Linked DNA regions of Danio rerio. The protein of the gene in region 2 purifies or fractionates together with the protein of the main gene of each other region. This does not show direct contact. Links are inferred from orthologs where the notes say so. Each region holds a gene or a part of one and is shown on either strand. Other genes may lie near its edges.

The links. Proteins that work in one complex are often made in the same cells at the same time.
Region 1: the proteins of carm1 (region 2) and smarcc1a purify together in Homo sapiens (affinity purification with western blotting; 3 studies listed by BioGRID and IntAct, with this or other methods). This does not show direct contact. The link is inferred for Danio rerio from reciprocal best matches to the Homo sapiens genes CARM1 and SMARCC1.

Annotation. Positions count from the first base shown.
Region 1 is NC_133191.1:46,877,929-46,881,585, reverse strand, and holds part of smarcc1a (SWI/SNF complex subunit SMARCC1), read left to right. Parts: intron 1-821; coding exon 822-947; intron 948-1,228; coding exon 1,229-1,344; intron 1,345-2,263; coding exon 2,264-2,391; exon of another isoform or gene 2,392-2,471; intron 2,472-3,657. UniProt on the Homo sapiens protein: Involved in transcriptional activation and repression of select genes by chromatin remodeling (alteration of DNA-nucleosome topology).
Region 2 is NC_133178.1:33,009,360-33,013,016, forward strand, and holds part of carm1 (histone-arginine methyltransferase CARM1), read left to right. Parts: intron 1-1,181; coding exon 1,182-1,359; intron 1,360-1,437; coding exon 1,438-1,528; intron 1,529-1,764; coding exon 1,765-1,846; intron 1,847-3,062; exon of another isoform or gene 3,063-3,260; intron 3,261-3,353; coding exon 3,354-3,439; intron 3,440-3,538; coding exon 3,539-3,628; intron 3,629-3,657. UniProt on the Homo sapiens protein: Methylates (mono- and asymmetric dimethylation) the guanidino nitrogens of arginyl residues in several proteins involved in DNA packaging, transcription regulation, pre-mRNA splicing, and mRNA stability.

The sequences.
Region 1 (3,657 bases), on a different chromosome or scaffold from region 2:
AAGTTTTTGTAAAAAAGTTTAGAAAAACTTGTGGGATGAGTTCGTTGAAGCCAAGGGGCTGTGACAAAAGTGGGGACCCAGGTTGTTTTAATACACAATTACAGATGTTTTTTTTTTTTCCACCATTCATAGTATTTACTCTGATGTATATATTACAATTTTGAGTTTAAAACTATTTGATAGTTACAAAACTAAAATGAAGCAACAAATTATTTATTTGATAGCTGGAGAAGAATATTTGAACCTATCAGTTTACAATATACTGATGCCCTGTTTTTCTAGGTTTTATTGGTGATAATGGTCAGAAATGTTGGAGCATTATTGCCTTTTTAGCATATAATTTGAGGAGAGATGGGAAGGAACGAAGTACAAATACTTTGTTACTGTACTTAAGTAGATTTTTCTGGTATCAGTGCTTTATTCTCTACTTATTTTTTGACAACTTTTTACTTTAATTTCTGACATGTTTACACAAAGATCTGTGATTTCTACTCCTTACATTTTTAAAACCACGGTCAATACTTTTGTTTTCATGCGTTTGGTGGCTTGATCTATTTTATTTCTTATCATTGCGTGATAATACGAGCGCCTTTTTGATGCAAGCAGTCTATTTTTCCTCTTTGCGCGCCTATGTGCTACTGTGCACGGCTATCGTTCACCGTACGTGGGCTAGTTTATTAAGATTACTATAAGAAAGACAAGTTTCATGAGGTGCATGCCCAGTCAGCAGAAGTCTATTACGCAGCACCAGGCGAAAGTATAAATCAGCCTTCAGATAAAATTTTCCAGCGTTTTCTCAGTACATTCTGTGATCCCCTCAGGTGCATGCTAAATGGGTCATTGACACCGATGCTTTCAACGAGTGGATGAATGAGGAAGATTATGAAGTAGATGAGAACAAGAAGCCTGTGAGTTTCCGCCAGCGGATCTTCCCAGGGGAAGATGTGGTAAGAGACTCAAATACATGAGTGCTAAAAAAAAAATAGATATAGTAGATTTTTGTTGTGTTGTCAGGCCAGATGTGTGAGGTCCTGGCAGGGTTTGTTCTGTCATTGTCTGTGTGTGTCTGTCAATCATCCTCTACAGCTCTTCCTTGCTACCTCACCCTCACCCGCCCACCCACCCAAAAATCCCCTCAGCACCCCTCCCCCCTTGTGTGTAAAACCGTTCCATTCTCTCATTCTCTCGCTCTTTCTCTCATCCTTCACCCCGCCGTGGTTCTGATCAGTCTTCCCGTACACCCGATCGTAAGGAACGCAAGTCCCTGGTTGCTGGCAAGAAGAGGAGACGCTCTCCATCTCCACCTAGCACCCCTGTGGAGTCGCGCAAGAAGGGCAAGAAAGGGTAATGATCATGCTGGAGTCACCTAAATGTGCAAATATGAAATTGCTATAACTTAAAAATGAGTGAAAATATACAGTACTGTGCAAAAGTCTTAGGCCCCCAGGTAAATTAGATATTTTAGTGAGGGTATGATGGCATTATATATTGCTTCTCATTCTTTTTATTAAAATACACCCATATAGACAAATAGGGGAAAGAAGTTAGAGAAAGATGGAAGACTGAATGAAAAATAGCATTCTGTAGAGTTTCTGTCTTGGTTGGATCTGCATTTCTGCCAGAGCTGTTGTCAATAATGCCTGAATTGGCATTGTGAATGCTGAAAAGTGCAGACAGGTTTTAATTTCAGGTTGTCATGTAATTCCTAAATAGAAAGCACATCATTTGTTATAGTTTTATTTTTCAGCATGATAACGATCCCAAGTTAAATCATATTTGGAGAGAAAGATAGCTGATAAACAAAGACAGTTATGAAATGGCACTCTAGACCCGAATGTTATATACAGTATGTGTAGGCAGTGTGAGATTCAGATAGGACATTCTAAATCTAAAGAAGAACTCTTAAAACACTGAGAGATGCTTTATTAAATAGCACATCATTTTAGAAGACACAGCAAACAAGTTAAAAGAGCTAAAGAGGTCACATTAAACTGACTTTTTATGCTAGTCTTGATTCCAAAAGTAATTTTGTTTTGAATATATTGTCTATATACATAAACGTATATAAAAAAAATTGTATTTCTGCTTAAAACTGTAATTTATTCATTTTGAACAACATATTTAATATTGTAACAATATGAAAATCTTTTCTGAAACATTTAACTATTGCATCCCTGCTTAATAAAAGCAATTTCATAAACAAAAAGTTTAGTTCACAATTTAGGCTGCAGCGTGGTCTAATTTGTGAATTTTTGTCTAAAAGGAATCCTGGAAGTCAGTGGAGGCGGCGTGGACAACCAATTGATGACGAACAGGATGAAGATTCAACAAAGGACCTTGAAGATCCCTCTCCTGTGCCGGGAATGGAGGAAGTTACATTGCCAAAAAATGGTCAGAGCTCTTGATTTGTAACTTCACAACACTTAAGACAGTTTTACACTCTGTGGAACAGTCTCTTTGGTTCACTTTCCGTTTGCTCGGTTTGCTTTTTCACTGCGGTTTAGCACAAAGTGCATGGGGTTATAGACATGCTTGTAGTTGTGCCATGACTTGTCGTCATTCCTACTTTGCTACTTGGTTAATAACAGTGAATTAAGCATTTTCATTTGCATGCAACTCTCATTTAAAATGATGGCTATTTATTTAATTCTAGTAGGTTTGTGTCACAATGTTTTGATAATGTTTGATAATTATTTACTATTGTCTAGGAGCTAGTGACTTCTCTCTAACCAATCACTGATCTGCAGTGTTTACACATTATGTTTTAGAATAGGTAATAGTCAATTGCAACCTTAACTAGTGTGTTACCAAAAAGAGACACAACCCTAAAGTTATCCATACCATGCAGTGCAAAAGCACTATTTACCTTGGATTACCTAAAATGCCATTTAAACTAGTGTATTCTCATTTTAAAACACGTTTTATGCTCCAGCCCACAAAAGTGTTTTGAAAATGCAGAAGACCCCGTTTTAGTTCTGGCTTTCAGTGTTGGAAAACTGATGTGGACTTTTGAAAATGGAGGCACAGCTATCCACAGTTTCTGTCTGACTCGTCTCAACGTATCCAGTGTTTTCCAACCAGGTTCCTGGAGGCACACCAACAGTACATAATTTAGATGTCTCTCTCATCTGACAATTCATTTCAGGTTTTGGTGGCTCTTTTAATGATGTGATGAATTGATTTAGATGTGTTTGGTTGGGAAAAGTTTGAAAATGTGGACTGCTGGTGTGCCTTTAAGAACAGGGTTGGGAAACACCGTTCTAGACTATTAGCTGTCATTCCCTGATTTGACCATTACATGAATGATATATTACCTATATATGTCAGCAAGATGTGTGTATGGCTAGTTAGAAAACAATATTGGAAGAAAATGACTTTTTTTAATAAATAATTTTATTTTGTGATTAATAATTAAAATTTCACAAGATGACTTAAGTAACTATTTGAAAATAATGCATCATTTATTGATTGATTGGGATGAGTTTGTAGGGAAGTGCATCTGCATGAAATTTACAAAACTATCCAGAAATATACGAAATAAAAATCTAATTAAAGCACATTTGTATTAATTAGTTAGTCAATGAATTAATTAAGACTATTGCAGGTTTGCACATTGCATCATCGATGCTGGAATGATTAGGGATACACTGATACCAT
Region 2 (3,657 bases):
GACACCAAACAAAACCAGGTAATTTGTAAGAGTTGTCGCAGAATTGTTGCCACAGAACGAGGAAATACAACCAGCACCTAAAAAAAGTACCACGGGCATCTATATGAGAAGCGTCTTGCTAAAAAGTCAACTAAAATTACGGTCAATGATACACAATCTAGTATCAAGCTAAGTACAATTTTAGAGTTGTTTGCTAATATAAGTTGCTATCTTTTCAGTTCCTTTTTTTTTTTTTAACTAAGGGCATACAAACTCTATGTACAGTTGCCTTGAACCGAGCCGAAGCACACTCATCTCCCCCTCCCGTTTCCCCCGACGGCCCGCACTCGCATCACATTCGGGCCTGAGCATGCGTACGTCATGGATAATGCTCTGTTCAGTTAAAGAAGCGCTCTCGCTCAGCACAGTGGAGATTTCTTTATATCGTTATATCATTTTAGTTGTTTAATATGCAGTGACACGCAGTCAAATATTTTGCTGAACAGATCAGCCACTTTTGACACTCATAAATGATCATAAAATCCTAGTGCTGCAGGAATTAGGAGGTTTGCAGAAGGTGCAGTGAGGGGCTTGCGTCTTTAATAATCTATGACAGTTTGCGTTCATTGAACAGTAAGAATGATTAATAAATCCATATGAAACAGTCCCTTAAACTCGCGTCTGGTCTTCAGTTTCGGGTTCAGTCATGTTTTGCACTCACACTACAGGCGTACCGGGCCTGAGCCCAAGTGAACCGCGCTCTGTCACACCTCTTCCAGCAGGGCCAGGGCTGGCCAAGTGAACCAAGCCTGAACCCGATTCAGAGCACTTACACTTCCCAAACGATCAGAGAAACGGGCCTGGTCATGGTTCAGATAGCATAGTTTGTGTACGGCCTAACACTCACTGCATTTTAGCAGCAAGAAGCTATGATACAGATTATTAAGCTGAAGCTTGACTACAAAATAAATAACAAATCAAATTCAAATCGCAATATCTGTAAAAAAAAAATGGCAATTAGATAATTGCACAGCCCTAGTACGAATCCAGAAAATAGATTATCAATTTCATGATTTTAATACTGCATCATTTCAAACGTGTTTTTAGTATATAAATTATTTGAATGCATGGAAAATTGATTTGGATACAATAGTGGTGGTTATGCCAATATGGTGGTACTAATGATAATTGTGTATCCACAGGTTCTTGTAAACAGTAACAGGCTGTCAGAGCGTGTTGTGGTGATTCCTGGGAAAGTGGAGGAAGTGTCTTTACCTGAGCAGGTGGACATTATCATATCCGAACCCATGGGCTACATGCTGTTCAATGAAAGGATGCTGGAGAGTTACCTACACGCCAAGAAATTCCTCAAGCCCAGTGGTGAGTGAAAAAAGTCTTATTCAAAAACACTGACATATACAAACATCTGTACATATTACACCTCTGCTCTCTTCACAGGCAAAATGTTTCCCACCATTGGAGACGTTCACCTCGCTCCGTTCACAGATGAGCAGCTTTACATGGAGCAGTTTACAAAGGCCAATTTTTGGTGAGCTTTCTTAAAGAGGACATGGACACTGGGTGGGGAGAGAGAGAGGGAGAGAGTAAAGAACAGCATGTACGACAAGAAGTGTGTGCAAATAAGTGTGTCATCATACCGGTAGCAGATTTCAAATGATAGACAAAAAGTGTAGATAAACAGTGATTTAAGACTGTTGAGGATGACAACTCAGGATGATTTACTTAATGTTTCCTCTTGAAAAACAGAATTTTCTTGTTTTTCAGGTACCAGCCGTCTTTTCACGGAGTGGATTTGTCTGCGCTGAGAGGAGCTGCAGTAGATGAATACTTCAGACAGCCTATTGTGGTGAGAAATGGGAGGGAATGACTAGCAGATTGGGTGTGTGCTAGTTAAAGGACATGCTGGCTTTTTAGACTTGGCTACAGTTTGGAAAGTTGGTAAGGCAGGAGGCCATAAAACACACGAGCTTGTGTTTGTGCCTTCAGGGGAAAGATTACCCTGATAAATAGTGTGTGAAGTATGAAGGTAACTGGAGATTTGCCTCCACACCAGTTATAGATAAGCAGTGAGCATTGGGGGGGGGGGGGTAAATACGGACAGGATTGAGTTTCATACTTAAGCTCAAATGAGAAGGGAGGATGTTTCTAGGAAGAGGAGAAAGCCAGTTTGCTTCATGGATTAGCAAAATAGATTCAGTGGTGGTTGTATATAGGAGACTGAAGTGAAGTATGTGAGCTCGCCTTTATGTGCGTGATGAAAGGCTTTACTTTGTGGTCAGGGTTTCCGAACTTACTGTTTTTGTATGGTCGGTGGGAATGCAATGAATTTTCGCCCATCTAGAAGAGTATATAAAAGCATATCTTTGTATGTACAGAAAGTCCACGTGTAATTTTGCTTCAGGGGTCGTTGGTGTAAGAGTTGCTGTTTCCTCTTGAGAAGCCAATTATTGCAAGTTGTCGACTGTGCTTTTTGTGTGAATTTTATTTTGCAGATTTTCTTAAATAGTTTACAGGTGGGCTGGGTGATGAAACTGTAATGATAATTAACTAAATGTTCCATGATTAAACAATTGCATGTTCAATATGTTTGGTCTAATTTAATATGCTTTAAAGCAGAATTACTTGTGTGAGTGTTTAGCTTTGTTTTACATGCGGATATGTCTCGTATTGATCGTGCAAACATTAAAGGGCAGCACTTTGAATTTGAAAATGTTTATATTATTTAGTTTAAAGGAATATGAAATGGCACTGATGAACAGGAGAAACACTATGCCATAAACGATTGATTTACCATGGATTTAACATGCTAGTATTTACGGCGCTATGCCATTGTGGCAGGGTTGAGAGATATGATTTGTTATATTGTTAATGTAGGGAACTATTACACTGTTTTCTGTTTATTATTGTATTTACATTGGAGTTTTTCATGTAATTATTACATAAACCAGAGTTTCTGTTTGTATCCTGTTTGCCATGATAGTTTTTTTTTTTTTTGTCATATTCCCCAGTTTTTATTTCAATATGTCCCAGTTGTAGTTTCCAGTCTGTTTGTGTGCTGTATGCCCAGCATTAGTCAGCTGTTCAGGCATTTTCAGTGCCTGTAACGGTGTTATACTGCTGGGACAGTGACCTGCCGCGGTCTGGCTCTAGATGGCGCTGTTGTAGCGTCTTTCAGAGTTCAGCTGGAGGCAGGAGAGCCCTCTGAGCTAGGACTGAGTCTGCTTCGCTGTGGCTCAGCCCTTGACAGGAGGCCTCACAGAACGTCGTTGTGTTTGATTTGACCCACTTCCTGATCCAGATTCAGGGCTGAAGGTTATTCTGCCTGCTCTCATTTATCCTCTGATTTCTTTCAGGACACTTTTGATATCAGGATCCTGATGGCTAAATCTGTCAAATACACAGTCAACTTTTTAGAAGCTAAAGAAGAGGATCTTTACAAGTACGTTTACACCCAAAATCCGATTTACCTTGCAGCCTTTTTAAGATGTGTAGTATAAGATACACTCTCCACTTTTTGTTGTTTTCTTGTCCTTTCCAGGATAGAAATCCCCTTCAAATTCCACATGATGCATTCAGGGCTTGTACATGGGCTGGCATTCTGGTTTGATGTTGCATTCATAGGATCAGTGTAAGTTACAAACCTGCTATTATGACCCG